Linked DNA regions of Caenorhabditis elegans. The protein of the gene in region 1 purifies or fractionates together with the protein of each later gene. This does not show direct contact. Each region holds a gene or a part of one and is shown on either strand. Other genes may lie near its edges.

The links.
Region 2: the proteins of taf-1 (region 1) and ruvb-1 fractionate together in Caenorhabditis elegans (co-fractionation; one large-scale study listed by BioGRID). This does not show direct contact.
Region 3: the proteins of taf-1 (region 1) and parp-1 fractionate together in Caenorhabditis elegans (co-fractionation; one large-scale study listed by BioGRID). This does not show direct contact.
Region 4: the proteins of taf-1 (region 1) and prp-31 fractionate together in Caenorhabditis elegans (co-fractionation; one large-scale study listed by BioGRID). This does not show direct contact.

What each region holds. Positions count from the first base shown.
Region 1 is NC_003279.8:13,858,451-13,866,152, reverse strand, and holds the start of taf-1 (Transcription initiation factor TFIID subunit 1), read right to left. Parts: upstream 4,680-7,702; 5' UTR 4,678-4,679; coding exon 4,551-4,677; intron 4,486-4,550; coding exon 4,290-4,485; intron 2,896-4,289; coding exon 2,493-2,895; intron 1,499-2,492; coding exon 1,180-1,498; intron 1-1,179. Other genes in the region: W04A8.6 (ANK_REP_REGION domain-containing protein), read right to left, coding at 6,602-6,734. UniProt on the Caenorhabditis elegans protein: The TFIID basal transcription factor complex plays a major role in the initiation of RNA polymerase II (Pol II)-dependent transcription.
Region 2 is NC_003283.11:9,975,164-9,982,738, forward strand, and holds ruvb-1 (RuvB-like 1), read right to left. Parts: upstream 5,640-7,575; 5' UTR 5,534-5,639; coding exon 5,468-5,533; intron 5,421-5,467; coding exon 5,325-5,420; intron 5,248-5,324; coding exon 4,536-5,247; intron 4,479-4,535; coding exon 4,021-4,478; intron 3,972-4,020; coding exon 3,873-3,971; 3' UTR 3,628-3,872; downstream 1-3,627. Other genes in the region: unc-41 (Putative stoned B-like protein), read right to left, coding at 290-1,063; tofu-1 (Schlafen-like protein 1), read left to right, coding at 6,238-6,273, 6,321-6,525, 6,578-6,902, 6,957-7,512. UniProt on the Caenorhabditis elegans protein: Possesses single-stranded DNA-stimulated ATPase and ATP dependent DNA helicase (3' to 5') activity suggesting a role in nuclear processes such as recombination and transcription.
Region 3 is NC_003279.8:2,919,428-2,927,439, reverse strand, and holds the start of parp-1 (Poly [ADP-ribose] polymerase 1), read left to right. Parts: upstream 1-2,726; 5' UTR 2,727-2,745; coding exon 2,746-2,838; intron 2,839-2,903; coding exon 2,904-3,623; intron 3,624-4,272; coding exon 4,273-4,395; intron 4,396-5,489; coding exon 5,490-6,067; intron 6,068-6,149; exon of another isoform or gene 6,150-6,254; intron 6,255-7,720; coding exon 7,721-7,925; intron 7,926-8,012. Other genes in the region: Y71F9AL.1 (tRNA (guanine(10)-N(2))-methyltransferase TRMT11), read right to left, coding at 415-484, 528-615, 663-881, 1,496-1,726, 1,778-2,020, 2,076-2,195. UniProt on the Caenorhabditis elegans protein: Poly[ADP-ribose] polymerase modifies various nuclear proteins by poly(ADP-ribosyl)ation, a post-translational modification synthesized after DNA damage that appears as an obligatory step in a detection/signaling pathway leading to the reparation of DNA strand breaks and programmed cell death.
Region 4 is NC_003279.8:5,124,078-5,131,313, forward strand, and holds prp-31 (U4/U6 small nuclear ribonucleoprotein Prp31), read left to right. Parts: upstream 1-3,750; 5' UTR 3,751-3,772; coding exon 3,773-3,862; intron 3,863-3,936; coding exon 3,937-4,049; intron 4,050-4,097; coding exon 4,098-4,215; intron 4,216-4,263; coding exon 4,264-5,457; 3' UTR 5,458-5,534; downstream 5,535-7,236. Other genes in the region: mat-1 (Cell division cycle protein 27 homolog), read right to left, coding at 115-269, 320-675, 724-1,222, 1,270-1,411, 1,455-1,610, 1,656-1,755, 1,799-2,006, 2,202-2,377 and 3 more; Y110A7A.7 (Fungal lipase-type domain-containing protein), read left to right, coding at 5,702-5,911, 5,969-6,085, 6,148-6,459, 6,622-6,791, 6,841-6,970.

The DNA.
Region 1 (7,702 bases):
AAAAATTGCTTTATTAGACTCAACATTGTCTGAAAACACCGAATTTCATAATGAAACTTCTTGAAAACTTTTCAAAAAAAAAAGTTATGGCGGCACGAAAAATGGCCTAAAATTAGTGAAATTTGAAATTTGACCAACTTATGATTGTCGCAGCGGCTGGAAACAATTTTTTTTTAAATTGTCGTCTACTTTTGGATATTTAAGTAAATTATCGTGCGCTTTCAACACGGTTCAGGTATTTTAAAGTCGATGAGATTTTTCAATTTTTTTCACCAAATCTCTTCGTCCATCGACTTTAAAATACCTAAACCGTGTTGAAAGCACACGATAAATAACTTGCATACCCAAAATTAGACGACAATTTCAAAAAAAAATTGTTTCCAGCCGCTGCGACAATGATAAGTTGGTCAAATTTCAAGTTTTCACTAATTTTAGACCATTTTTCGAGCCGCCATAACTTTTTTTGGAAAGTTTTCAAAAAGTTTCATTATGAAATTCGATGTTTTCAGACAATTCTGAGTCTAATAAAGAAATTTTTAAAAAATTCGACAGCACCACCTTTAAAGTCTGAAATTTGTGAATTTATTCAGTACAAATTACGTACATTTCTTGAATTTTAGGTTCAGATTTCCTGAAATTGTCCAATTTGAAGCCCAGAATTTGCGATTTTTGAAACTTTCAAGTACGAATTTTTTAATTTTTTTTGTTTTGGTGAAAATTGAGAATTTCGTACAAATTTTGATAATTTCGGGTCGAAATTGTTCTTTTTTTACAAATTGGAGAATTTTCAACGCGTTTTGGCAATTTTTTTGCAAAAATTGACATTTTTACAAAAATTTCGGCATTTTTTAGTCAAAATGGATCATTTTAAAAGATTTTTGGCATATTTTTTTGAACTGTGGCAATTTTAATAGAAAATTGATGAATTCTCACGAATTTCAGCAATTTTTCGGTCAAAATTGGTCATTTTTCATAAGTTTTGGCAATTTTGACAAATATTTGCCAATTTCAAGTCAAAATTACTATTTTCCACAATTTTCTATGCTAAAATTGAAATTTTCATCAAAATTTGGCGATTTTGGGCCAAAATTCGTAATTTTATCCAAATTTTAACATTCTTAGGTCAAAATTTTGCCGTTTTCACGAATTTTGCACTTTTTTTCACATTTTCATCCATACCAGCATATACAAAATGCTCATAAGTTCTCGTATACTGTGTGGGAATCCATCCACAACCTCTTCCATTCGAAAATTCTTCCAAAAGTTGATCTTTAACTTCTTCTCCATCTAATATCACATCATTTTCCCATTCAATTACTTGATATGGTAATAGAATATCTTCTGATGTTGAAGCTTCACAACTTTTATCAATTACTTCCACTTTATCCAAGAAAGGGGCGGAGTTTGGGGCGGGGCCTGATGACGTGGATGGTAGATCATCCGGGGTACGGTAATTGAGCGGTTTTCCACTTCGAATTGATACTTTTTGAGGAGATTTCTGAAATTGTTAAAAAATTAATTGAAAATTAAAGTTTCGAGAGGAAGTTTTTGAAATTTTGAGGAATTCAGCAATTTTTTCCGATTTTTCTACAAAAAAAAACTATAGAAATTAGTGGAAAACGATAAAATTTGATTATAAAATTGACAAAATGAGATGAAATTGTCTAAGATGACCGAAAATTGTCTGAAAACTCATGAAATGCTGTTTAAGCCGTGAAAATAACCGGAAAATTGTCGGAATTGAGCTGGAAATTATATTTTTCAGGAATTTTTAGTTAAAAATTATCAAAAATTGACTGAAAATCACGTTTTTCAACTAAAAATATATTGTTGAGTGAGGCTCACACTACAAACTACAACATTTTCTAGCCTCAACCAATTTTGGTTGAGGCTCACACTACAAACTACAACTTTTTTAGCCTCAACCAATTTAAGGTGAGGCTCACACTACAAACTACAACATTTTCTAGCCTCAACCAATTTTGGGTGAGGCTCACACTACAAACTACAACATTTTCTAGCCTCAACCAATTTAAAGTTCTCAATTTTGGTTGAGGCTCACACTACAAACTACAACTTTTTAGCCTCAACCAATTTAAAATTCTCAATTTTGGTTGAGGCTCATACTACAAACTACAACTTTTTAGCCTCAACCAATTTAAAATTCTCAATTTTGGTTGAGGCTCATACTACAAACTACGAAATTTTCTAGCTTCAACCAAATTTTTTTGAGCAAACTGTGTCAAATTTGCGCTTTTTTGGTAATTTTTTCAGATTTTTAGTGCGATTTTTAGGGTTTTTTTTATTGAAAACTTCAATTTTTGGCGAATTTCAGCCATTTTTCAGCCATTTTCAGTGTATTTTTTACCAGGAAACTTTAATTTTGATCATTTTTAGCCAATTTCAGCCATTTTTAAGTCAGTTTTTCAAAGGAAATTCCATTTTTTTGAGCAATTTTCAGCCGATTTTCTGCAAATTTTCATTATTTTTACCTTCAGTTTGAATCCATAATTAACAGCTTGACTAGTCATCGGCAAATTCATCATATCATACCAAATCTTGGCGGGACCCGTTCTCCACGGCTGAACTACCGTACCCTCTTCATTTTTCTTTGCCATTTCCTCTGCATCCGTCAGTATCGGTCTCCGCATTCGTTCTTCTTCATCGTCAGCCAACATGACACGTGGCACCTTCTCAATGATGTTAAGCTTCAGCTTTTTGGCTCCAACGATGACGTCATCAGCGAGGGGCTCTTCGGGCTCTTTTTTGCGTTGATGTTTGGAGAAGGTTCGGGAAGCCCACCAGATCTCGGCACGGGACGTATGTTTGATATTTTGAGCAAAAAGTCGAGAGAAACGAAGAGTTTTGTTTGGATTGAAGTCTTTGAAGAAGATTCTGAAAATAAAATTAAAGGATTTTGCGGAAAAATGGGGGTTTTCAGTGATTTGCGTGAATTTTTGGCGAATTTTCGGAATTTTTTTGGAAATTTTAACAGAGAATTATGGAATTCTAGAAGAAATTAGCAGTTTTTAGCAATTTTACATCAAAATTTCGAGTTTTTCGGCGAGAAAAACCAGTTTTCAGGGGAAAAATGACGGGTTTCAACCATTTTTTTTGGAATTTTTGCAGAAATTGGCCAATTTTCAGGCTTTTTTTGGCTTTTTTGGCTCGAAAAAAAGGTTTAACAATTTTAAAGCAAATTTTCGAGTTTTACATGAGATTTCTGATGGCTAGGAAAACCATGGGTTTGTGTGGAAAAATTGTGGGTTTTTTCGGGGAAAAGTGACACGGGTTTCAACGATTTTTGAGTGAATTTTTGAGTTTTTTAAAGGAATTTTTGCAGAAATTGCCAATTTTCGGGTTTTTTGACTTAAAAATTGTGTATTTGTGTGTTTTTATGAAACTTCATTGGAAAACTGACTTTTGGAGCAAAATTCGAATTTCAATTTTCAATTTTCGAATAAAACAAAACCCAACATTTCAGTGAAAATTCGATTTTTCCAACAAAAATCGTCACTTTTATTCGATTTTTGCGCGAAATTCGAATTTCGGCAAATGTTTGCCAATTTTTTGAAATAATGGCGCTTTTCATGCTTAAAAAAAGTGAAAATTTGTTTTTTCCAACGAAATTAGAATTTCTATCAATTTTTCGAGAAAAAAAAATGAAAATTTTACTGAATATTCGATTTATTCAACAAAAATTGAAAAAAAAATCGTCACTTTTACTCGATTTTTTTTCGAAAAATTTTGAAAAAAAAATCCCATTTTACGATTTTTTGTCGAAATTTTTGATTTTTCCAGCAAAAACTCTTTCCAAATCGACTTTTGGCGGGAAATTCAAAAAATTTCAGTTTTCAATTTCAAGGGCAAGCAAATTTTGCGGAATTTTAAAAGAAAATTATGGAATTTTGGAAGAAACAGCACGTTTTGAGCATTTTTGGAATACTTTATTCAAAAAATGTCATTTTCGAGCAATTTTCAGAGTTTTTAAAATAGATTTTCCGAAGAAAATTCGAATTTTCGGGTGATTTTATAAAAAAGTTTGTAAAAATGGAAAAAAAAATAAAGTTTTTAGAGAAAAATGAAATTTTTTTTAATGTTATTAAATTAAAATTTGTCAATTTTTATACCACACACATCTCATACTACACATTACAGGATTCGGCAGGAAATGAAATTTTTTGTCAAATTTCCCAATTTTCAGTGATTTTTGATAGAATTTTTGAGTTTTTCGTGGAAATTTCCGGTAAAAAACGTCAATTTCAACAGAAATTTGTGGTTTTCAGTACCTCGGATCAATTCCATCAAGATCCGGATGTAAAATAGATGAAAGTGGTGCATCATCTCGAAGTGATGGTCTTGCAAATGGTTCCATATCTTCTAATCGTACAGGATCACCAATATATTCTTCAAATTCTTCATTTTTTTCCACTTTTGGCTCCATTTTCACACTTTTAGAGCCGCCATTAGAAGCTGACGAACATGCTGAAAAAATGAAAAAAATGAAAAATTAGTGAAATTCCAAAGTTTTTTTTTTCGATTTTCGCTACCTTCATTCCGTGCTGCCGGATGATTTTTGTAGAAATCCGAGAGATTAGCGTAAGGATCCTCTAGATCTTCTTCATTTTTTGGCTTTTCCGTTCGATACCCATTTGTGTGATGATGTGTATTGTTCATTACTGGAAAAAATTACAATAAAAAATTTTGAAAAATATTTTAAAAACCTGGAGATTCACGAATTTTTCAAGAAATTTTCACGAAAAAATTGAATATTTTCTGAATTTTCTGCTCAAAGTTGCTCGATTTTGAGTTTTAGAGATTTTGAATTTTGAAAATTCATGAGTTCTGTCTATTGATATTCTTTAGAAAATTTTCAGAGAAAAAAAAGAAAACGGAAATTTTGAAAAATTCGAAAAAAAAACCATTAATTTAGTCTCAAAATTGAATTTTTATTTAATTTGAATTTGAAAATCGATAAAATTTCCATTTTTCCGAATAAACAATGAATCAAAATTGTGCAAATTAAGAAGAAAACACCAAAAAATGCACAGACTACAAACTACAACATTTTCTAGCCTCAACCAACTTTTGGTGAGACTAAAAACTTGTAGAAAATTGGAAAAAATTACGATAATAACTTTAAAAATAATTCTAAAAACCTGATGATTCACGAATTTTTAAATTTTTTCACGGAAAAAATGGATTTTCTGCTCAAAATTGCTCGATTTTGAGTGAAAAATGGATTTGGTTGAGGCTCACACTACAAAAACTACAACTTTTTCAGCCTCACCAAAGGTTGGGCGAGGCTAGAAAATGTTGTAGTTTTTGTAGTGTGAGCCTCAACCAACTCCGGAAAAACTAATTTTTTGGGGAAAGTTCTCAGTTTTTTGAATGAAACTCGAATTTTAATTATTATTTCTTCAAATTTGATTGATTTTCGCATAAAAATTAGACTTTTCAAGAAAAAAAATGAAATTTACAATCATTTCGCTGAAAAATTTAATTTTTCACCGGGAAAATTCATTTTTCGACTAAAAATGTTATGAAAATCTAATTTTTTCAAAGTTTTTCGGCAAAAAGTTGAGTTTTTTCTGACTTTTCGGCTTAAAATTGCTCGAAAAATGCATTTGGTTGAGGCCGACACTACAAACTACAACTTTTTAAGCCTCACCAAAAGTTGAGTGAGGCTAGAAAATTGTGTAGTTTGTAGTGTGAGCAACCAAGTGCGGAAAAAATCTTTTTTTTGTGGAAAATTCAGAATTTTTGGAATTGAAACTCGAATTTTAATTATGATTTTGTGGAATTTATTGGATTTTGGCATTAAAAAATGAAATTTTTGAAGAAAAATTCATGAAATTTGCAATTTTTAGCAGAATTTCTGACTGAAAATTCAAAATTTCGCTTGAAAATTCAATTTTTCGACTGAAAATTGAATTTAGCGACTAAAAATGTGATGAAAATAAGTTTTTTCCAAATTTTTACAGCAAAATTAGAGTTTTTGAATAAAAATTGTTTTTTTCTAAATTTTTCTTCGAATTTTCACTTTTTATTCGGTTTTTACCGATTTTTAAAACAAAATTTCTGTTAAACGTTGGTTTATGTGAAAAAACGTTTAAAAATTGAATTTTCAGCTAAAAAATAGAAAAACTATTAAAAAAAAAAATATTCAAGTGCAAAATTACACTTTTTCGAGGATTTCCCCCCGAAAAAACCGGAAAAGAATAGCGAAAATAGGAAAGTGAGAAATTCATTTCAAATTATGGGAAAAAAATGACAAAATTATGGAAAATGATTCAATTTTTTCAACAAAAAAAAAGATTCAATTAAATTGATTGATTATCTGAGAAAATTCGAGAGAAAAAACAATGAAAAATGGGCAAAAATACAAGCGAAAAATGGGAATTTTACCCGAAAATTGACACGAAAATGGGGGGGGGGGGGGGGGGGGGGGGGGGGGAAATGGGGATTTATTAGGGTTAAACATGGTAAAAATTGACTAAAAATTCAATTTTTGGGGGAAAAATTCAGATTTCTATGAATTTTTACCCAAAAAACTCGATTTTTTTCACAGAAAATTAGAATTTTCCACTGAAAATCAGCTCTACATCCTCTGTTGCTGCAGTTGTCCCATCAATTGTCCGAGTTCAGGGCTTGATTGGAGCCCCGAGACGTCTGTAGACATATCCTGAAGATATTCGAATTCTGCCAACGCCGAACGCTCGTTTTTGCCGAATCTGGAATAAAAATGGGTTACAATTGACTAAATTTGAATAAAAATTGGAATTTTCCGCCTAAAAATAGCTATTTTCCACCGAAAAACTAGGAAAAATCATGAAAAATATGCGAAAACCCATAGAAAATTCGTCCTTTTATACGCAATTTGAGCGGCGGACGGCTTCGCGGGTTCCGCCAATCACCATGTTTTGCGTGGTAAAAGGGGCGAGTGATTTTAGCGGAAAATTGTTGAAAATTGAATAAAAATAACAGTTTTATCCAATTTTTAAGCAATTTTCTTCTGAAAAAAGCAAAATTCTCCGTATTTTTTGGGTTTTTTCCACAGAAAATAGCAATATTCTTCGTTTTTAGAGGTTTTCACTAAAAAATGATGAAAATTGATTAAAAATAACAGTTTTATCCAATTTTTAAGCAATTTTCTTCTGAAAAAAGCAAAATTCTCCGTATTTTTTGGGTTTTTTCCACAGAAAATAGCAATATTCTTCGTTTTTAGAGGTTTTCACTAAAAAATGATGAAAATTGATTAAAAATAACAGTTTTATCCAATTTTTAAGCAATTTTCTTCTGAAAAAAGCAAAATTCTCCGTATTTTTTGGGTTTTTTCCACAGAAAATAGCAATATTCTTCGTTTTTAGAGGTTTTCACTAAAAAATGATGAAAATTGATTAAAAATAACAGTTTTATCCAATTTTTAAGCAATTTTCTTCTGAAAAAAGCAAAATTCTCCGTATTTTTTGGGTTTTTTCCACAGAAAATAGCAATATTCTTCGTTTTTAGAGGTTTTCACTAAAAAATGATGAAAATTGATTAAAAATAACAGTTTTATCCAATTTTTAAGCAATTTTCTTCTGAAAAAAGCAAAATTCTCCGTATTTTTTGGGTTTTTTCCACAGAAAATAGCAATATTCTTCGTTTTTAGAGGTTTTCACTAAAAAATGATGAAAATTGATTAAAAATAACAGTTTTA
Region 2 (7,575 bases), on another chromosome or scaffold:
AATATTTATAAACTTGATAAGCTGTGTCCGAAAAATGAGCACAGCAGACAATTCATGAAGCAGAATTGGCTAATTTTAAATTTTGAAAAACTTATAAATAGCTTTTTCAAGTTTCGAAAAAATTTACAATCAAATTTAAGCAGTTTTTAATAATTGTGCCATGTTTGGGCGGCAATGGAATTTTTGGCGATTGAAGAATTGCTGGATTGTCGAAAATTCTAATTGCCGTCCATATCTGCTCTAGACTCTTTTTGTATTCGGTTTTTTAAAATAATAATTAATTACTTACTTTATCCTTGTATTGTGGATTTTCATCAAGAATATCTCCTTCATAGTCATGAAGGGGAGTTGTTCTTCCAGATTGACTCATCCTTCGACCACCACCTCCGGGTATCTGATTTGCCATCGACTCGTAAAATTCTGAATATGACATATTCTCTGTTTTTCTCCTTCGACCACTTGGAATCGACACTTTAATCTTTTTCTCTGCATCTGTTGGAATTGTATCATTAGAACCATCAACACTTCCAGCAAAGAATGCGATTCCATCTAAAACACACGCAGATGTTGGAGTTGTAGGCCTTTTTCGAATTTTCTGATCATACGCGTGCCGAAGTTCTTCAGCTGTTTCAGCGAAGTTCAAACTTTTTGGAGGTGTCACAACTGGTTCTGCAGATGCTGCAAATACTTGTTCAACTTCTGCATCTTCTTCTTCGTCCCTTATCAAACTTTTGTGAAGTTCTTGTTCTTGTTCAGAGTGCCCGGGACCAGGTACTGCCATTTTATATTTCTGGGTCTCTCCAAGTTGAGGATCCACCTTTCCAGGCTTAACTTCAATGATTGTGTCATTTGTATCAGATGTTTTCATACTGACTCCTTCAATCATATCGATGTCAAGTGAAGCTGGTAATTCTGGTGGACCTTCATCTTCAATTGATTGAGTAAATGAACGCATTGCTCTCATTGAAGCTGCTCGTTCTGAAGATGACTGTTTCGATTCATCAGTTAATCGGAAAGCATTTCGGCCACCGTGTGGATCAAAATCACGGTCTCTCCAAGACATCTAATCTTAAAAATATAGGGACATTGTGATTAATGAATAAATAGACAAGAAATGAAAGAATTGGAGCCTGTCTAGGTTATTTAAAATTTGGGAAAAATCAGGAACGGTATGGGACCATGTCTTATGTTAAAAAAAAATTTTCAAGTTTTCTCGATAAGTTAGGGATTTCAAAAAATTGATAGAATTAAATTACTGAAGGCATTTTTGTATTCCCTTAAGTGATCTAATGGTACCTGTGGGTTTTTTGACAAAACATGCACAAAACATTCATTAACTAGAGAGTCATAAAACAAGATTCGTCAGACACTGTTCGGCTTAATAAGTGCAAAACAAATTTTAGCAACAAGATTGGAAGTATGGTATATTTGTATAGATATTGAAATAAAAGAAAGATTTATCTACTTTTTTAGTTGAGATAAGAGAAAAATTGGTTGTTTCTGTATATACATATATTATTATTTTTCTTGCACTATGCACCTCATTAAAAATTGATTAGGCATTGAATCTATTGGCTCAATTTTAGTTTTGTTTCAAAACAGACTATGAAAGGTTATTTTTTCACTTAGATTTTGGCAATATACTACGTCATTTAGTCAAAAAAGGTTTTGCAAAAGACAAGAAGAAACGGAAGAAACGAAAAATTTGTGTGTCAACAAGTGGAAACTTGATATTTTGGATATTTGGACCGGTAGTTTGGGTTTCAGCCGAAACACGAAATACTGAATCTAAGAATATATTGATTTTCAGATTATCCATTCCATTCGTTTCTTCCATCTTCAAAAAGGTGCCTAACCCATGAAATCTACCCATCAATCTGCCCTGTCTCTCCTTTTCCGCTATTACTCCTAGGCTTTCTATGCATATAAAATACGAAGAGTCATGCCTAAAAAAGAATGGAAGGGTTTGGAAAGAAAATATGGAAAATAAAATGAAAGTGGAGACGATTTTGAATGTCAAGACTCTTCTTCTACTTTTTCTTTTGAGTGCTTATGTATGAGATAAGTGATTTTTTAATATTTCACGAGTCTATTCTCTAATTGTAAGCCCCCAATTGCATGACTATTTATTAAAATGGTGCAAATAATATTGTTTTCTAAATCCATAAAAGTAGAATCCATTCTTCGAAAACTACACCGATTGGTAGTACTAGCACATTCAATTATAGATACGACGGGAGGAAAAGCGAGAGGCCTGAAAGGGAAGGAGAAATTGCGAATTAACTGAATTTTTCCTTTTTTTCTCAATCTGATTTTGACGGGAAAGAATATTCACAAATTGAACAAAATAAAGATCAGAATTTGCAGACTTGAAAAATCTTTTGAAAAAATTATCTATAACTTTTTCGTGTAATAGAGAAGTACGGTAAGCGTGAGACCCTTGGTTGACTTTAGCAGTTGTATCCCACTTGATCAAAAATATCAGTAGTAAATTTACAAAAGCTATAATGGAAAATCATCGAATACGCATTTTTCAGTAGGTAAGGATTCGTTAAAATGAAATACGATCTAATATATAATATCAATGTTCTGTTTCGAAATTTGAATTAGCTGTTGGCATTTTAAAAGAATCAAATGTATTGATATCTGTTGATGTAGCATGTTATTGGAACCTAGGTCGGTAATTTTTTGAAACAGTGACCTAAGTTACACTTTTCAAGAACAATGCTTTCTTAACTTCATTTCGCCATACAAATGTTCACTTTGCGTAAATAGTCAAACTCAAGCGGTATGTCCTCTAACAGAATGTAACTTTTTTGGTCTAAAAAGTGTGTCATATAATCAAAAGCTGATATGTTCTAATCTTCTACTTAATCTTTAGCCTGAAAGATATAAGCATGTGTAACGTAAGTCAATGTTGCAGTTTTTGAAGGAATATTCAAAAAACAGGTGGAATTTAGAAGCTCTTTTAGCATATGAAAAGTTATTGGTTCGAGTACTTTTGCACCAGGGGTGTGCGGCAAATCTCAAAATTTGCCGAGCTCGGCAAATTCGGCAAATCTACTTTTTTGAAATTTGCCGTGCTCGGCAAATTCGGCAAATTTGCCGAGCTCGGCAAACGGCAAATTCGGCAAATTCGGCAAATTTGCCGCACACCCCTGTTTTGCACCCTTACTAATAATTAATGATGGGAAAACTGAAAAACTCCATACTTCCATATTCTGAATGTGTCTATAAAAATTGCTAATAAGTCTATAACAAAAAAGAGAACGAGACATAAACACAGAAAGTTTGCAAAAATGAGCATACGAGTCTACTTCTTGTGCTCGGGGGGCTCCAAGCAAAAGCTCTCCCAGAAGACGTTTGTCTTCTCCTTTCGTCCTCGTTTTCTTTCCCCCTTCTTCTTCGTTTTCTCAAAGAGGAGGCGAATAGAGCGAGGAATAAGCGAAACGACGACTGCTGAGGACTATGTGCTCTGTCAGAATCGATAGAGAAACGGGAGAAAAAGAAGGGAAATGCCGCGGCGTCAGGGACGTGGAGAAGACGTATTACGAATTGCCGGGGTCCCTCTTTGTCGATTCTGTGCACTATGCACTCCTTCCGCTTTGGTGAACATTACGAACAATTCTTGAAACCGTTTTTTTTCTTTTTAGGAACAGTATAAAAATAGGAATCGAACAACAAATTGGGCAAAATGGGGGATCTATCGGAACGAAATAACAAGATCCTCAACATGTGGGGAAACAACTGAGGAAAGATCGAGAGGAATGAGATAAGTTGTAGAAGAAGAAAAATAATTTTAAAAAACAAGAAATGAATTGGCGAAAAATCAAAATTGGAAAACCGAGTCGTTGTGCGGATATGAATGGATATCACTTCTTATTTTTAGGTTGTCGCATCTCTTCTTCGGCCTTTTTCAACGACTCCCCACGATCCATGAACAATTTGGTACAACGGTCCACGTCCTCTACCTGAATAGCGATTTATTTAATACATGAACTACAACATTCTGCAACTTACTTCAATGACCTCTCTTCCACACGTTTGAGCACAAAGACGAGCTGGAGCAATCAATTGTAACGCATATCTCAATGATTTTTCAGCTCCAACTTTACTTAGAAGATCAAATGCTTTTTCTTCGAATTGAACATTTTCAGCTTCGGTACGATGAACGAGAATCTTCCGGATGTCTTCTTCGTTATACTTCATCGTTGGAATAATCATCAGCCGATCGAGCATTTCTGGAGGAATTCCATGTGGTGCCTTATCGCCGAGTCCACGAACTGTTGTGGTTCCACGGTTAGTTGCAAAAACCACGACGGGTGCCATTGGGGACTCGAGCGCGCGATAGAGATAGGTAAAACATTCTACGTCAAGCATATGAACCTCGTCGATGAAAAGAACACCAGGCATTAGTTCAGCCACTCCACTTTCAATGTATTCGTTGACTACTTTGTTGATTTCAGAACGAAGACGATCTAAAAGACAGAATAAAAATTGAAAGGTTCGAGTTTTAATGTTTATCAATCACTCACCAGTAACTTCAGTTTTCTTTGGAGTCATCAGCTGTGAAACAATGTTACTAACATCTCCTTGACGTCCTTGTGGACGGGCATTTGCGATATCCAGATCATGCAAAGACACGTTTTGAACAATATCTTTAGACTTTCTAACATCTCCTTTCGGCATTGGCACAAACTCGTCAGCCTCGAGGTCAAACTCAGATGCATATACATCACACCGTCCAACTCGTTTAACGATTCCTGAGTTCGCTTCAATATAGATGACATCACCAACTTCTACTCGTTGCTTCAAAATCGAGTCATAGATGCTTGGATCCAATTTCAGTTGCTTGCTTCCTTTTGCTGTTTTCAAAGAAAGGACAAGATGAGAGATGGTTTTTCCCATTCCGGAATTATCTGAAGCTTCGACGGGGCTCAACTCTGTAACTTCTCCCTCGTACACATCTTTGGTTTCCTTAACACGCAGACCAATAGCTCTTCTGAAACTTCTCATGAGCACTTCCGTTTTCTTTACTTCATTGGAAAAGACCTCGCTTGCAACAAGTGGCACAAATGGAACGCCGTCACCCAACTCCTGTGACATTGCAAGCGCGATTGCAGTTTTTCCAGTGGCGGGTGGTCCAGCAATCAATACAGCTCGTCCGGCCATACACTTCAATCGAATCATATCAACTACAATTGATGCAGCTGTTCTGGCGGGTGCTTGGCCAACGAATCCAGCAGCCTGTAGAAATAATATTTTATTTAGCATAGGCTTTATTTCATAAGTAGTTATTGAAATTGGACAATTGAAAAAGAAACCTCATAGTGAGCTTCTTGTGTTTCTGTGTCAATTCCGAGTCCCTTGACGTGACTGTGAGCCGCAATGCGTTTAATTTGCTTTGGAGTTGGTTTTACCTGAAAAATTCGATTTAAAATACTAGGTTTTTCAAAAATTAGCTCACTTCTTCGATTGGTGCAAGTCTTGAAGAAGAAGTACCAGATATTGCCTCATCGACTTCCATATCCATTATTTTACGAAAGCGTCAGCGTGAAAATAGAATGAAAAATAGAAATTTAGGGAAAGAAAATAAAATTCGAAAATGTGTGCAGCCATCTCATTTTACGCACAAATGCAGACAAACAGCAATGGAAGGAGACCCGAAGAACTCGGGGGATGTCCAACTGGGGGGATTACCAACTCGGGGGATTGGCCCCGCCCACAGAACCGTGGCTTGCATTACGCCCATTTCTGCAACTGCCGCACGGTTTTAAAACTGTATTTTTCTCAATAGAGCGAGAATTAACAAGAAAAAATAATTTTAAAACCGTGCGGCAGTTGCAGAAATGGGCGTATTGCAAGCCACGGTTCTGTGGGCGGGGCCAATCCCCCGAGTTGGTAATCCCCCCAGTTGGACATCCCCCGAGTTCTTCGGGTCTCAATGGAAGGGAAAGAGGAAAAAGAGATAATATTCTTATTTGAAGTAAATGTCAAATATAAGCCGAGAGTAACTTTTCTAAATAAAATGAATTTGCGAAAGTTGTATAATCACCAATAGAGATCCCAAGAAATTAAAAATGGCATTCCATTCGGGAACCTGTTAATGTAAAATAGCAATGTACCTTTAAAGTACGGTAGCACAACTTTGAGACAATTATCTGGAATTTGTCCCAAATCCTGCTCCCTCGACAATCCTTCGAAATCGAATATTCTGTCTCAGTTATTTTTGGAACAATGGCTGCGCTTTTTGAAGAGAATGATTCTTATTCGGTGAGTTTCTGGATTAACAAGAATAAAGTATAATTCAAGAATTTTAGGATTCCGAAAATGAAGAAGATTTTAGCGGCTTTTTGAGTGAAATCGAAGAAAATGAAAACGAGGATGAATTTGAAAACGACGATGAGTTTGAAGACGATGATGAGCTTGAAAATGTGGATGAACTTGAAGATGACGAATTATCCTCTGAAGAAGTGGACATCCCTTCCGAAAATGAAGTAATTGTCGAGCTTCACGATGGTCAAGGTGAGCAGTTTTATAGTTTTTTGCTCTTTTTCTGTAACAAAATATTTTCCAGCCGAAGTGGAGGAATCACTTCTTGATGCTCTTCTTGGAAAAGCATTGGCAGGAGATCAGATGAATTCTCGAATTGAAGGACTCTTCGAAGACTTGGACTCTTCAGTTGAACCTGATATCATCGATCGCAGCGAGTTAGAGGATGTGGACAGTGGTATTAGTGTTGGAGCTGTTAGTTCTTCCTCTGCAGAAACTCAAGCTTCTGATGCGAAATGCAAAAATAAGGATGCTTTCGACATGTCTTCACTTAAGAAGTATATGCAGTACATCACCGAAGAAGAGCATGCCGTATCAGTAGAAGATATTCCAGATTTTGCTTCCAAAAAGTAGGTCTTGAAGCTTTTCTGAATATTTTCTATTTCAACTCTTCATCCTTCCAGAAATGTGTATGGAACCAGCTTCAACGTTCGCAACGGAATCATGTCTCGTCCACCTCGTTTCGAATTTGCTCGTCACGATCAACGCTGGATCGATTCATGTGTATCCATGGCATACGAGAAAGACAAGACATTGAAAGAATTGATCACACTGGGAAAGTTGACAACAACTGTCAAGGCTGGAGCCAAAATTGAATTCAGAACCAAATTCACGGATGTTCATATTCGAAGTGCGGATGAAATTAACTTGATGGAGACACATGACATCCAACAGATAATCCGTGATGCATTGAATTCAAAGCGTCTCGCCGTGGTTCTCTTTGGTATTGGGAAAGACGGAAAAGTTACTGGATGCCACATGGGTCCTGGTCAACAAGATAATCTGCGTCTTGCTCTGGATACTGCTGTTCAAACCGAGTTTGCACCTCCAATTGAGAATATTCTCGACGTAGTTGACATGAACTTCGTTCCAGTTGAAGAAATGGATGAGACGTTTCTGATTGTCATTCGAGTGAAACAACTCCGTAATCAAGTCTATCGTTTAGAATCATCTGTTTGAAGTTGTTAATCTTCTGTTTTTGTTTTGTTCGTTGTTTCGCTTAATATCGCCTCCATTATATCT
Region 3 (8,012 bases), about 11 Mb from region 1:
TTTATATATTCATCACTTTTTAATAAATATTGTGGCCTTTGATGAGGCGTTTATTCGTTGATTTAAGTAGATTTATGTTCTTTGGGACACAAATAAAAGTTACATTTTGTGCCCTTCTGACCATAAATCTACTTAAATCAACGAATAAACGCCTCATCAAAGGCCACAATATTTATTAAAAAGTGATGAATATATAAAAATTAAGTTCCAGACGCTGCAACACCGAGAAGTTGGGAAAAATTTTGATTTTTGCTGAAAATGGTCCTTATTTTGCCGAACTTTGAACCGCCATAACTTTTTTTTGAGAAATTTTCAAAACGTCTCATTACGAAATTCGGTAATTTTGGACCATTTTGGGTCTAAAAAAGCAGTCTCAAATTTCGGTACTCCACTTTTAAACATTTGAAAACTTACTATTCCTCCGTAGTATCTACTTTTTTATTTTTAACCGTTTTCCTCGCCTTTTCCCGGACTCCGTAAGGTGCTGAAGCAATAAAATTATAATTATACTGGAAAAAAAGCCTTACGATCTGCAACAATTGCGTCAAATTTCGCATTACAGCTCCAAATTCCGTGTTTGCTGGAGTCGGCGATCAAAACTCCTAGAAATTGACTCTGAAATCGGAATTTTAAGGTCAAATATTAAAAAAAAAAACCCCAACCTCCGACTTATACTGCTCGAAATTCGCCTTAATGCTCTCGGATTCACCTCGCTGCCCGACACCTTGCCGGGAAGATCGTCCTTGAGCTCGTGCAGTTTGATAATTAATTTCAGTTCCGATAACGAAAGCTCCGAACTCCGCAGCTGGAAGGATCAGGCCACCGGTGCCGACGAATGGATCGAGAACAATGTCGCCAGGGCTTATCATTGCCAGATTTGACTGAAATTTTTGGTTTTTTTCAGGGAAAAGGGATATTTTGAAGATGGAGCAAAACAAATAGTGAAATATTCAAAAAATAGTCTGAAATTCAGAAAAAAACATTTTTACACTTTCTTAAAGGTGGTGTAGTCGAAAAAGTCGAATTTTTTCTATATATTATTATTAGACTTAAAATTGTCTGAAAACGCCGAATTTCATGACGAAACTTCTTGAAAACTTCTCAAAAAAAAGTTATAACGGCTTAAAAAAAGACTTAAAATGAGTTAAAATTTGAAATTTGCCCGACTTGTCAAGCGGCTGGAAACTAAGTTTTTTGAAATTACCGTCTAATTTTGGGTATACAATGTTATTATCTTGCGTTTTCAACCTTATTTAGGTATTTTAAAGTCGATGGACGGCGAGATTTTTAAATTTTTTAAACCAAATCTCGCCGTCCATCGACTTTAAAAGACCTAAATCGAGTTGAAAACCCAAGATAATTAAATTGTATACTCAAAATTAGACGGCAATTTCAAAAAAGTTAGTTTGCATCCGCTTGACAAGTCGGTCAAATTTCAAATTTCCACTAACTTCAGGTCATTTTTTGAGCCGTCATAACTTTTATTGAGATTAACCTGAATAAAAGATAATTCAGGATCCATCGTTGTATTTCCAATATAACATCTATCACGTAAATTATATTTGGTTTTCAGCTCGGCTCGTCCTTCACCAATTAGTTTTCCGAAATAAACTTTCTTTGGAGCTTCATCACTGGGATTTTCGTATTCTTCCACTAGAAACAGCTCATTTTTGGGGGATTTCAGGCAAATTGGCGCTTTATTGAATGGGACCACGTCTAAGAAAGCCTGATTGAAAAAATAATTAATTTAAATTAGAATAAATTAATGATTTCTCACTTTAATCCGTTCAATACTGTCAAGTTTCTTTTTCCGCCCGATTGCAAAGAATCGAATCGCAAAGCTTTCCTCTAATTTATCGAATTTTTCTATTATTTCCGGCTTGTTATCAATTTGCTCATACATAATATCGTATGACTCTGCCTCGATCGATAATTCAATTGCATATTTGACTAGAATCGATCGTGAAAGCAGCTTCCGAACTTCTAGATGGCTTTCGAAATTGACGATGAACATGTGGTCCTGTAAGATAATTTAAGATAATTTTGTGTGGGGTTCTCGTAATAATTTTATATACCGTTGTGTTCAGCTTTTCCGATAAATCTACTTTTATTGAGAACATTGAGCAAATTGCTTCGAATTCTGCTATCCTGAAGTCTACATGACTTTGCGAGAAGATTACTAGCACCGGGAGCATTTTCTCTGCAAAAAATTGGAGATTTTTTCAGTCTCTTTCAACTAATGTAAATACGCTCTCTTGTGACTAAGCGCGCGCGTTTGAACCAGAGGACAATTTTTTTCCTCAGCGCTAGTAGCCCCTGAAAGAGTTATTCATACTTGAAAAAAGAAACTTTTCTATAGATTTCTGCATGAAAAATCAATCCTCAGCGCTTCTTCTCTTGCTTTTCCTGATTGTAATGAAATTTTAGAGTTTTTAAATTGTAAAAAAAAAACTAAACAAGTTCTTTTTGAAGGGAAAATTCGTTTTTAAATGCTTAAAATGCTTCAAAAAAAAAACAAATAAAAAAAATTGTTTCTGTGCATACACCGTCACGACAAAATGCAGACTTGCCATTGGTCTCGCCGCGAAAAAACATGTTTCTTTTGAAAGATTGTCTTAATTTTTTGATTTCAATCATGATTTCAATCAGAATTTTGCGATCTTTCAGCATTTTTATCTATTTTAAAGCTTTATAAATTAAAAATTAAATTTTTAAAAATCTTCCAGATTGTCATACGGGTCCCGGATGATTCATTCCAACGAGCCACTGCCCTACGCTATCGAATATGCAAAGTCTGGCCGGTCGAATTGTAAAACATGCAAAAAGAATATCGCGTTGGTGAGAGCTTTATAAAGCCTAAAAAGCCTAAAGCCTAAAATCAGCCTAAAAATTGAATTTTTCAGGATCAATTGAGAATGTCAATGAATCGCCCGTCAACATTCTTCGATGGAAACATGGATTCGTGGTTTCACTACAATTGCTTCTGGATAAAAATGATTCGCGGCCGAGATGACATCAATATAAGCTCAATCCGAGGAGTCGATTGGCTTCGCTGGGAAGATCAGGAAAAGCTTCGCCAGGAAATTCAACACTTTAAAACCGCATCGCCACCGACTCTGACACCCCTGTGCTCTACCACTACCGTCATTTTGTCCACAATAAAAACCGAAAAATCGTTGTCAAATCGTGGGAAATGTGGAAAATGCGGCCAAAATTTCGAGCGCGGCGAAATCAAGGCTCATAACAAGGGAAAAGCCAACCATTTCAAGTGTTTTCTGCAGGAATTTGATAAAATTTCCGGCACCGTTGAGGATATTCCTGGCTGGGCGGATTATGAGGAGAACTTTAAAATTAAGGCGGTTGGGGAGTATGTGGAGGCTTTAGCTGCGAAAAGGCGATCCACGGAGCCAGCTACCCCGGCTTCTGCCTCTCCAACACCACCAGAAGCTGAAACTCCAGTTTTATCTGCAGAAGGATCCCCGGAAAGCTCCAATAAACGTCCGGCAAGCTCTGAAATCATTGAAATCGACGGTGAAGGGAATCCAGATGAGAATGATTTTGCGAAGAAAAGACGAATGAAGAAGGAAGCAAGATTGATGGAGGTTCAGAAGAAGCGAATGAAGGTTTTTTTTTTTCAGTTTTAATGGAGGACTAACGGTTCGGACGATTTTGAACGTATAGACTCAAAATGAGCTCAAATAAACGAATTTCGTAATGAAACTGCTCAAAAAAATTTCAAAAATGTTTTATGGCGGTTCAAAATTTTGAGAAAATTACACTGATTTTGGCTAAAATCACGATTTTTTCCCATTTTTCCGTGTCACATCTGTCCGTAGTTGGCTTTTTTGGAATTATCGTCCTTTATTGCATACATTGGTAATTAATCTCATTTAATTTCGTCGATTAAGGTACATTTGAAGCCGATAGGTAACCAATTTCGATAATTTTTGGTTACCTATCGGCTTTAAATGTTATTTGATCGACGAAATTAAATGAGATTAATTACCAATATACGTAATAAAAAACGAAAATTCCAAAAAAGCAAACTACGGACAGATGTGACACGGAAAAATGGGAAAAATTCGTGATTTTAGCCAATATCAGTGTAATTTTATCAAAATTTTGAACCGCCATAAAATTTTTAAAAAAATTTTTTGAGCAGTTTCATTACGAAATTCGTTCATTTGAGCTCATTTTGGGTCTATACGTTCAAAATCGTCCGAACCGTTAGTCCTCCTTTAAAACGCTGAAAATTATTGGAAAAATTTACAGAAACAATCCGATCTTCTCTGGGAATACCGCCAGATCTTCGAAAGAATGCCGTACACCGACAAAATCTCTATATTACGAGAAAACGAGCAAGACATTCCAGAAGGACACGATCCGACTGCACAAGTACGGGTTTTTCAGTGAAAACTGGACAAAAACGTCGAGAAAATAGCCAATTTTCTGCATTTTTATACGAAAAAAATCGAATTTTTTTTCGGTTTTTTCCAGAAAAAAATCAGAATTTTCCCATTTGTTTTTCGATTTTTTAGCTTTTATAAGGGAAAATTGAAAAATCGAGGAAATTTAATCAAATTTTTGTTCGTTTTGATGGAAAAATATTGAAAACAAATTAATTTTTAATAAAAAAGAAGAAAATGGACAAAATTTGAAGCTATTTTTGGGGAAATCGATTTTTGTTTGTTGAAAAATCAGAAAAAAAAACCAAAAATTTTCGTTTTTGTTCCACAAGGGCGTCGTTTTTCCGATATTTCGAAAAAAAATTATCCATTTTTCCAAAAAATAGCCTAAAGTTTTGGTCATTTTTCTTGTTTTAAACAGAAAAAGGTCCCCATAATAATACAAACTTCCCGGCAAACGGGCAAATTGCCGAGAATGAAAAATTCCGGCAAACGGGCAAATTGCCGAGAATGAAAATTTCCAGAAAACCGGAAATTTGCCATAAGTGAAAATTTCCGGCAAACCGGCAAATTGGCGAATTGCCGTAATTGAAAAATTACAACAAACCGGCAAATTGGCGAATTGCCGTAATTGAAAAATTACAACAAACCGGCAAATTGGCGGCACTGAAAATTTCCGGCAAATTAGCGAATTGCCGGAAAATGGCAATTGTCAAAAAAAAAATTTCAAAAAGGCACAGTTTTCAGCGTTTCCGTCTTTAAAAAAAATCCCTTAAAACTTCCGGCGAACCGGCAAGACGCCAATTTGCCGGAATTGAAAATTTCAGCCAATTTTCCGATTTTGTCGACAAAAAAATTTGCCGAATTGCAATTGCCGCCCACCCCACATAAAAAACATGAATAATTTGTATAGAATAAGAAAAATGACCAAAATTTCAAGATATTTTTGGAAAAATCGATATTTTTTTTCGAAATATCGGAAAAACGACAGAAAAACAGAAATTTTTTGGTTTTTTTCCGATTTTTCAAAAAAAAAATTTTTTTTCGTATTTTCGCATTTTCAAACTTCAATTCTTTTTGCAGGTAATCGAACGCCTAGTGGATAATGCCCTATTCGGATGCCCAATCATTTGCCAAACATGTTCAAATGGAAAAATTGTCTATAATTCATCATGCCGCACATATGTCTGCACTGGATATGCTACAGAATACTCGAAATGTACTTATGAATCAAAGAATCCAATTCGAACTCCATTCGAAGTTTCTCACCGATTAACTGAAAAGCATAAGCTTCAAGATATTGTATTCAATCAAATGAGTGAACGACTTTATATAGGAGAAGAGGATGGAGAATCTGTAGTGAAAATTGATAAAAGAAAGTCGAAAGGTGGTACTCGTGGTGAACAATTCATTTATGCGGCTGAAGCATTCGATTCGACTAACAATGTTCCGATAAAAGTCGGCGATCTCACATCAACCAATACTCATATTATTAAAAAAGGAACAGTTGTTGATGCGAAATTCGCACTGGCCGATCGTTGTCATGTATTCAAAAATGAGATTGATGGAAGTCTCTATCAGGCGACACTCTCGTTTACTGATCTTACACAGAATAAGAATTCGTATTATAAGATTCAACTGTTGAAGGATGATCAGAGAGAGTGAGTTTTTGGCAGAAAATCCTCCGAAAAAGTCGGAAATTCAAGAATAGCAGAAGAAAAAAAAAGCGAAAATTTGAATTCCCCACCCAAAATGAGAACTGCTCAACCAATCAGCGATTGGTTCAATATTGGGTGGAGCACATCACTGATTGGTCGTGTAGTTCTCATTTTGGCGCGAGCAAAATTCTTTTTTTTTTAAATTAAAGCTGGTGTAGTCGAATTTTTTTATTGCTTTATAAGAATCAAAATTGTCTGAAAACATCGAATTTCATAATGAAACTTCTTGAAAACTTTTCAAAAAAAAGTTATGACGGCTCAAAAAATGGCCTAAAATTAGTTGAAATTTGAAATTTGGCCGACTTGTCATGCGGCTGGAAACTAACTTTTTTGAAATCACCGTTAAATTTCGAGTATACAATGTAATTATCTTGAGTTTTCAACTCGATTTAGGTATTTTAAAGGAGATGAACGGCGAGATTTTTAAATTTTTTTAAATCAAATCTTGCCGTCCATCGACTTTAAAATAACTAAATGAAGTTGAGTACGCAAGATTTTCTTAAATTACATTGTATACTCGAAATTTGACGGTGATTTCAAAAAAATTAGTCTCTAGCCGCTTGACAAGTCGGTCAAATTTCAAAGTTTAACTAATTTTAGGCCATTTTTTGAGCCGTCATAACTGTTTTTTTTTTTGAGAAGTTTTCAAGAAGTTTCATTATTAAATTCGGTGTTTTCAGACAATTTTGAGTATAGTAAAGCAATAAAAAAATGAGACGCCACCTTTAAGGATTAGCAGAAGAAAAAAAAACGAAAAAAATCGAATTCCCCCCAAAATGAGAACTGCGCGACCAATCAGCGATTTGCTCCGCCCATATTCGATCTGATTGGTGCAAAAAGTGGGCGGAGAACATCGCTGATTGGTCGTGTAGTTTTCTTTTTGGCGCGAGCAAAATTCATATTAGAAATGCGAAATTTTTTGGATTACTGTAGCCCCAAAAATATTACAGTAATCCAAAAACTAGGAAAAATTGCATAATTATCTGCTTTTTGAAATGTGCAAAAATTTTATTTTCCGAATTTTCCAATAATAAAATCGAATTCATTGTTAATTTTTTATTTGAAATTGAGTTCTCCAACGACAATTTTCTGGTTTTTTGGGTTACTGTAGCCCCGAAAGTACGTTATCAAATGTTTTTTTCGAAATACTGAAAAATTGAGATTTTTAAAACTTTTTTGCCCAAAAAATTGGTGGCCTAACTTTCAGTATTTTGGTGGCCTAGGAAAGATATCTTTTTCGAAAACAAAAATTGGTGGCCTAACTTTTTTCCTGGAGGTTCCTAGGCCACCAGTTTTTTCAGCGAAGAATTCGGAAAAATTCCTAGGCCACCAACTTTTTCTCAAGAAAAACATACATTTTCTATGAATTTTTGACCAAAAATTCAAATTTTCCGGTCACTTTAAGCGAATTTCCGTGGTTTTCCCGCCTTTTTTCAGGAAAAAAAATCCTAGGCCACCAATTTTTTTTGTTGCGAAAATTGGGGTTTTTGATGAACTTTTTACGAAAAAATCGAATTTTCTGGTAATTTTAACTGAAAATTCGATGAAAAAAAAAATTCAATCTGAAAAAAAAATTGACAAAATCTCAATTTTCAGAAACTACTACGTCTTCCGTTCTTGGGGTCGAGTTGGCACAGAAGTCGGCGGAAATAAGCATGAATCATACAGTAATTCAAATGAAGCGATTCTCAAATTCCAGGATGTTTTCCACGAAAAAACGAAGAACGATTGGATTTATAGAAAACATTTCCGCAAAATGCCCGGAATGTTCAGCTACGTGGAGACGGATTACTCGGAATTTGTGGGTTTTCTAGGAAAATTTTGAGTTTAAAAAATTGAAAATTTTCCGGCAAATCAGCAAACTGCCGGAATTGAAAAATTTCCGGAA
Region 4 (7,236 bases), 8.7 Mb from region 1:
AGAGTAAAAGTAAAAAAGAAAGAAAAGACGAGTGAAAAACCCGCGCCAAAAAAGACGATTATAGCACGAAATTGGCTATGATGAGCTATCGAGAAGTAGAACGAGTTATGAAAATTATACTGGCGATCCGTACTCGTCGTCCTCGTATTCCTCGCGATTGATAACATTCGAGTCAGTGATGTTCTGCTCGCCACGTGGATCCAGCTCAGCCGCCCAGCTATAATTAAGAAGAGCCAAATGAGTATTTCCCATTCTTCGGTGAACTCGTGCTGAAAAATTCAAATTTATATAAAATAGTATAACTAATTTTAATACGTACCAAGCAGATGGAAAATGAATGCTTCATCTGGCGAACTAGCTTTCAATTTATCAAGTTCCACTAGACATTCTTCATTTCGATTCGCCTCAAACAAGAGACGTGATCTATTGAAACGGCAAGCCACATCAAGAGGATTCAGAGTGAGAGCCCTGTCAATCAGCACGAGAGCAGTATCGATTTGTCCACGTTGTTGCTCGATTTGGGACAGTGTGCAGAGCATTGCACGATTCGTTGGATTAATATTAACAGCCTTCTGGATATTGGTCAGTGCAGTCAGATTTTGCTCTTTCTTTAGGTGAACCAACCCGAGACCATACCAGGCACGGTAATCGCGAGGAGAAAGGAGAAGTGCTGATCTGAAAATTTAATGTTTTAATTAAAAACTTTCATGATCCTATAAATACCTGAAAGATCCCGCAGCTTTGTCAAGTTCATCCTGAACGATAAGCTCATGCCCCAATAAAGTGTATGCGTAGGCGAATCGTTTGTCAAGTTGAATAGCCCTCTCCATACATTCAATTGCCTGAGTATGCTGTCTTTGTAATGAGAAGCAATTTCCAGCGGCACACCAACTCTGTGGCCGTTCCCGTGATTCAGTTGTCAAAATCTGAGAAAGAGCCGAAAGAGCATGAGTATCTTGAAGGTGCCACATTGAGGTGGACAATAGCTCGGTTCCGTCAACCTTCCACTTTCTACGTTTATGCAAATCATCGAGAATGTTCCGGCACTCTCTGTATTCGGATTGCTCGAAGCAAGCTCTTCCCAACTGAAGACGGACCATAGACGTGTTAAGAATGATATCTCTATCGAGTTTTGCGAATAAAGCATCAGCCGATCTCCAATTGTATGTACTGATTGACTCTTCAATAAGTGCAATGTGTTGATAAACATCAAATAATTTCTCTGAAGAACAAATAAAATCATTAATTTTTGATTAACTGATTTCATACTGTATTCTGGATCGTAAACTCCATCGACAATATCCATAGGTTCATCATTGTTCAAAGAAGAAGCCACAGAAGGGAGAGGAGGATTGATCTGGGATACCTCATCTTCTGATGGACGCTCACTAGCTGTTGATGCCACCTGAAGCTGCTAATAATTGAAGAAAAATAACTGGTCATTATATTCTTACAGAATTGGTAGAACCCGACAAACTCCGTGCAAGATTTGAGTTTCTGGATACCAAAGGTTGTTTTTCATTTCGTCTTCTTTGACTCAGAGTTTTGGCAGTCTTGTTTGCAGCAGCGGCGGCGTCAGCAATTCTGATTGAAGTACGCACAGGATTGGTCTAAATTTAGAAAATTATTAATTTCAGTGTCCAAATAAATGTTACCCTCTGGGACGACGATGACCCTCTGGTAACTGATGCAATTCCACTCCGAGTTCTCGTATTCGATGCATTCGAATTCTCCGTATCGCTGTTTAGTGCAGCACTGAAATTATTGAAATAAAATTTCAAAATCTGTCACCACTCACTTTGCGCGATTTCTAGAGCTATGTGTAGCCCTCGTGTGTGGTCTCTCGGGTTCTGTGAATAACGATGATCGAGATCCAGTGACTGAAGATTCGGTACGTCGTGTCGTCATTTCACTGATTCTGGAGCTTTTTCTCGGGGCAGTTGGATTAATACGTGAAGGTGTGGATCCAGGAGTGGATTGTCTTGGAGTGATGTTTGATGTGGTATCTGTAACTTTTAATTTCTGATTCAGCATGATCTTTCAAAAATTTTTAATAGTGGATTTTGAAAAATCGCATTTTTAGAGTCGGATTTTTTTCTAAACTGATATTCCAAAATTTTATTCTCCAAAAAAGAAAATCCTATAAATACTTCCTATAAATTTACGGAAAATTTTTCAATAGTTTTTTCCGCTTCACTCACTTCTTGTCTCGCGATTCGCCGAAGCAATCGTACCGCGTGTAGATCGTCTGACCGAACTTTCCAGTCTGGAAGGTTCAGCAGTGCTGGCAGCTGAAGAAGACGACGGCCCAGGAACATTTGGTGATGGTGTTTCGGATTTCAAACTCGAAGCTGGACTATCCAGGTATAGACCATTTCTATAAAAATGTCGGCATAATATTTAAATTTAAACATTCTCAGAATCTTACGATTTTCGGTGATGTTTTTCAAAAGTATGGGCGAGATCATGACCTCCAAACCGTAAATAAGTTATGATAGCTGACCACAACAAAATATTCTCATCCAGAGACTTTTGACAAGATTCTAAAGCCAGATCCATGTAACTTTCATCGCAAAGCATTTGAGCATGAAGCAAATTAGCATGTGATGCAACCCGTGGCTCTTCCAGGATATCTTTCCGTATCACTCCATCGTCATGTTCGAAAAGAGCTCCTCTACAGTCATCGATTCTAAAGAAAAATTAAAATAATGAATAAATATACATATATATTACAAACTAACTTATTTAAATCGTAGGATACCCTTGCAAGTAGATAGAAGAGTCTAGCTCCGCTCAATTTAACTGAACTAAGGAGACCATAACATTCCTCTTTCTTATTGGCTCTATACAGACAATCAGCGTATAGAAGAAGAGATTCGGAGTTGTTGCCTGAAAAAAAGTTATTGAAATTAAAATATGAATTAAAAACGAAAACCACTTTTATCGGTTTCGTAATGAAGCTCGGCTAGAAAAATAGCATCATCAAAAGCGTAACACTTCATCATTTCATGAATCTCATCTTCAATTGTTCGGTGTGCGTCCGCTGGAAAACGCTCGAACACCTCTCTCAATTGAGGCCGCACAGCTACAGACGCAGCTGATTCTTTCATTCTCTTCGCGACCTGAAGAAACGCTAAATAAACTATTAAATCGAGAAAAGCGGTGATATTCAAGAAAAGAGATATCGGCGAACAAAAGGGAAACGAAAATCAATTTGACCATTTCTCAAATACATCCCTTAGGTTATTGTATCGATTATACTGACAATTGAACTCAAACTTTAAAAACTAAAAGTGCCAAGAAATCGAAGAAAAATTGATCAGGCGTTCACATTAAATGAGGATCATTTGAGTTTTATCGATTGGTTTCAAACAAAGCTTGGAAAAAATGCAATAGTTTGCCAGCAGGCATGTGAACGTTGTATGAATCGATTGCCGAGAAAATGTCATCGAATTGAAGAGTAGATCATTTCCAGCGAACTGCAGCAATGAAGAGAAACGAGAAAGACGGGGAACGGCGTACAACGTGAACTTTTGCGCCCGACTACAGCCGGCGGCGGCCGGTCTTCAATTGTCGTCAGATGAGGTGCATTGCGTGCTTTTGTGTTTGCGGAGTCGCATACCGTACTTCGCAATCCTAATGTTTTTCGAAATTGTTTTTTTTCTTTTTCTTTTCTTTTTTTCTTTTTGCCTTGTTCATTTTTTCTTTTAACTAAGAGAATTGAAATACTATTTTAATCTAAAATTTCAGTTAATCTTTAAACTACCTAAAAATGTCGTTGGCTGAAGAACTTATGGCTGATTTTGACGATGACGACGATGAGGATTTGGAAGACATTCCAGATCTCGGAGAAAACCTTAAGGTAAATCGAATTTAAAATTTAAATTATTTAAAATCTAGAGTTTTTGCAGCATCTGATAAAATTGTAATTTTCAGGGCGTCAAAAAGGAAGAACTCGATGATGATATTGAAGAAGCAACAGAAGAACCGATGGATACAACTAAATATGCATCAGTGCACGATGTAGCAAAGCTTGCCAGATCTGATGAGTTAGTTTTAGTTTTGTTTTAATATATAATTTTAAAATACTTTTACAGATATTTAGCACTAGTGAAACAATTGGAAGTTGAACTGAAACGGCCTCAGGATGAAGTGAAGGTGACAGCTCCTCTTGAAGCAGATCCACAATACAAGCTTATTGTTAAATTATCCCACGTAAGTACATCATGAAAAAGAAACAAAAAAGGCAATGATTAATTTCAGGTCGCTGCAGATATCGACAACGAGATCAATGTGATTCACAAATTTGTTCGTGATAAATATGAAAAGCGCTTTCCTGAACTAGAAACGCTTGTTCCTAACGCGTTGACCTATTTGGCTACTGTACAGTTACTGGGAAACGAGATCAACAGCAAGGTAGTGAAAGAACAACTCGGCGGAATTCTAGATGCCTCAACATGCATGGTGGTCAGTGTAACAGTCTCAACAACACAAGGAGTCAAGCTTGAGCCAAATGAGCTGGAAACCGTCATGGATGCTTGTAATTTGGCTGCTCAACTTCATGTCAATCGTCTCGAAATGCACCAACTTGTAGAATGGCGAATGGCTCTGATTGCCCCGAATCTGGTTGCTTTGCTCGGCTCAACTACTACTGCCCATCTAGTTTCACAAGCCGGAGGATTGTCTCCACTAGCCACAATGCCATCATGTAATGTACAGGTTCTCGGAAAAACGAAAAAGAATTTGATTGGATTCTCAACAGTGTCCACAAATCCACATCATGGTTTTATCTATTTCCATCAGTTGGTTCAAAAGATGCCTCCAGATTTGAAAAACAAAGCGGCCAAAATTTTAGCTGCAAAAGTGACTTTAGTTGCTAGAATTGATGCTCAACACGAGTCATCCAACGGAGAAAAAGGCGCGGAATTTCTGGCGTTGGTGGAAAGTAAATTTGAAAAAATGTTGGAGCCACCACCAGTGAAAGCTAACAAAGCGCTTCCAAAACCTTTGGATAAGGCAAGTAAAAAACGTGGAGGACGTCGAACAAGAAAGATGAAGGAACGCCTCGGAATGACGGATCTTCGGAAAAGTGCCAATCGCATGAACTTTGGAGAATTGGGAGAAGATGTAATGCAAGAGCACATGGGATTCGATATTGGGCAGGTGAAGACCGGAAATGTGACTGGTGGAAGAATCCGAACAGCCGCAGTGGATCAGAAGACCAGAGCAAGAATGTCGCAAAAGATGATGCGGCAGATGGAGAGACAGAAAGCAGCTGGAGGAATGACAAGTATTCGAAGCAAAATGGCGGGAACTGCGTCATCTGTCACGTTCACACCAATTCAAGGTCTAGAGATTATCAATCCAGCTGCACAAGAACAGCAACAATGTTCATCGACTTCAAACTATTTCTCCTCGTCTGGAAGTTTTGTTAATATTGATCGGATGACTTTATAATATATTTATTTGTTACTTTCCTCTTCCTGAATTCTGAATTCTTGAATCTCAAACCAAATGAATCGACTTTTTCATTTATATAAAACTCAACAACTAAATACTAACCAATTGGTGGAATTTCTCCCCTCTTAAATATATCTTTACACTTATCCAATCTAACAACTTTTCACCTCGTAAACAACTCTCAATCCTCCCAATTTTCCTCTCCAGGTCTCAGTGATTTTCGATCGGAATTTCGACCCATATGCGAAACGGGTTCGCTCTTTTTTCATGTCTTTTCTTCTTTCTAGCTGATTGCAAGAAAGTAAATCGAGATTTTGACTATGAATTGAGCAAGAGAACTCTGGAATTCGCAGCGGCTGCGTATTCCATCGATCCGGAACCTTGCATCTCGAAAAACAATGCGACTTTATTGTTTTTCAAAAAGGTGGAGTGCGATTATATGCGTGACGAGGTAAAAGATCATGAGATCTTTAAATATTCAAAAATCATCTGATTTAATTTTTTCCAGTGCTGGAGTGTGATTGCTGCCGACAACGACACAATATTCGTCAGTTTCAGTGGAACAAAATCGAAAGAGCAGCTGGTAACTGAACTTATCGAAAGCATTGGTCGGCCAAAGCACAAAGTAGGCTCATGTTTCAAGTGTTTGTCTGAGTACTCACAGAGCAAAGAAAACTTATTTTACAGTTGCACAATGCTGGATCAGTTCATTATTACTTCTACTCTGCTCTAAAAACAATGTGGTCACCAATGGAAAAACTACTGCGAGGACTGAAAGACTCACTTCCAGATCATAAAATTGTGTTCACAGGACACTCATTGGGCGGAGCTATTGCAAGTATTGCATCGACTGTTTTCGTTAGAAACTTTCCCGAAACGTCGAGTCGAACCTTTTCAATCACATTCGGACAGCCTAGAGTTGGAAATCTCGAATATGCCATGACACATGACAAATTAGTTGCTGGAGGAAGCTGGAGACTGATTCATGGAAGAGATATTGTGAGGGAGACTAATATTTAAGATTTTTTTAATGCTTTATTAGGCTCAAAATGCACCCAAATGAGCGAATTTCGTAATGAAACTTCTCAAACAAGTTCGAAATTTTTTTCTGGCGGTTCAAAATATCCTCTTTCAAAAGACTATTAAAAGTTTTTTTTCTAGGTTGCACATATTCCGTTCTGCGTGGAAAGCTATGCCAGATGGTGTATACCATTCTACAATCATGGATCCTATCACCATGGAGTCGAAGTCTGGTTTCCTGGAAACATGACAAGTCAAGATACGTTCAAAGTTTGCACCGGGACTCCATTGAACGAGGACAATTTGTGCAGGCAAGTGACAGTGATCGAAATCACGTGATAAGAAAATCTTCTCTTACAGCAACACTCATCGCTACTTTGACATCAACGATCACCTGTTCTACTTTGGACACCACGTCTCAGATTACGGTGTTAATGGATGTGTAGACCCACCGGATGATGAACCATTAATAAATAATGAAAATGTTTAAATAAATTTAAAAATGTTGATTGAATTGCGATTCTTTTTCTCGTCGTTTCAACTGTTGAAAAGTCGGTTTGAGAGAATATTCTCGCTTCCGTGTGTCACGTATATTTTCTCAGGACTTTCTTTTTATTGGAGAGAGAGAGGAGGCGCCAAAGAAGATAAGACACCCGCGAACTCGAGTGTAAGAAGAAACAAGGGAGGAGAAGAGAGAAAGAAAGGGATGGTTGAACACAGAAAATGAATTGTTGGTTATTTTTCTTTTCGTTTTCG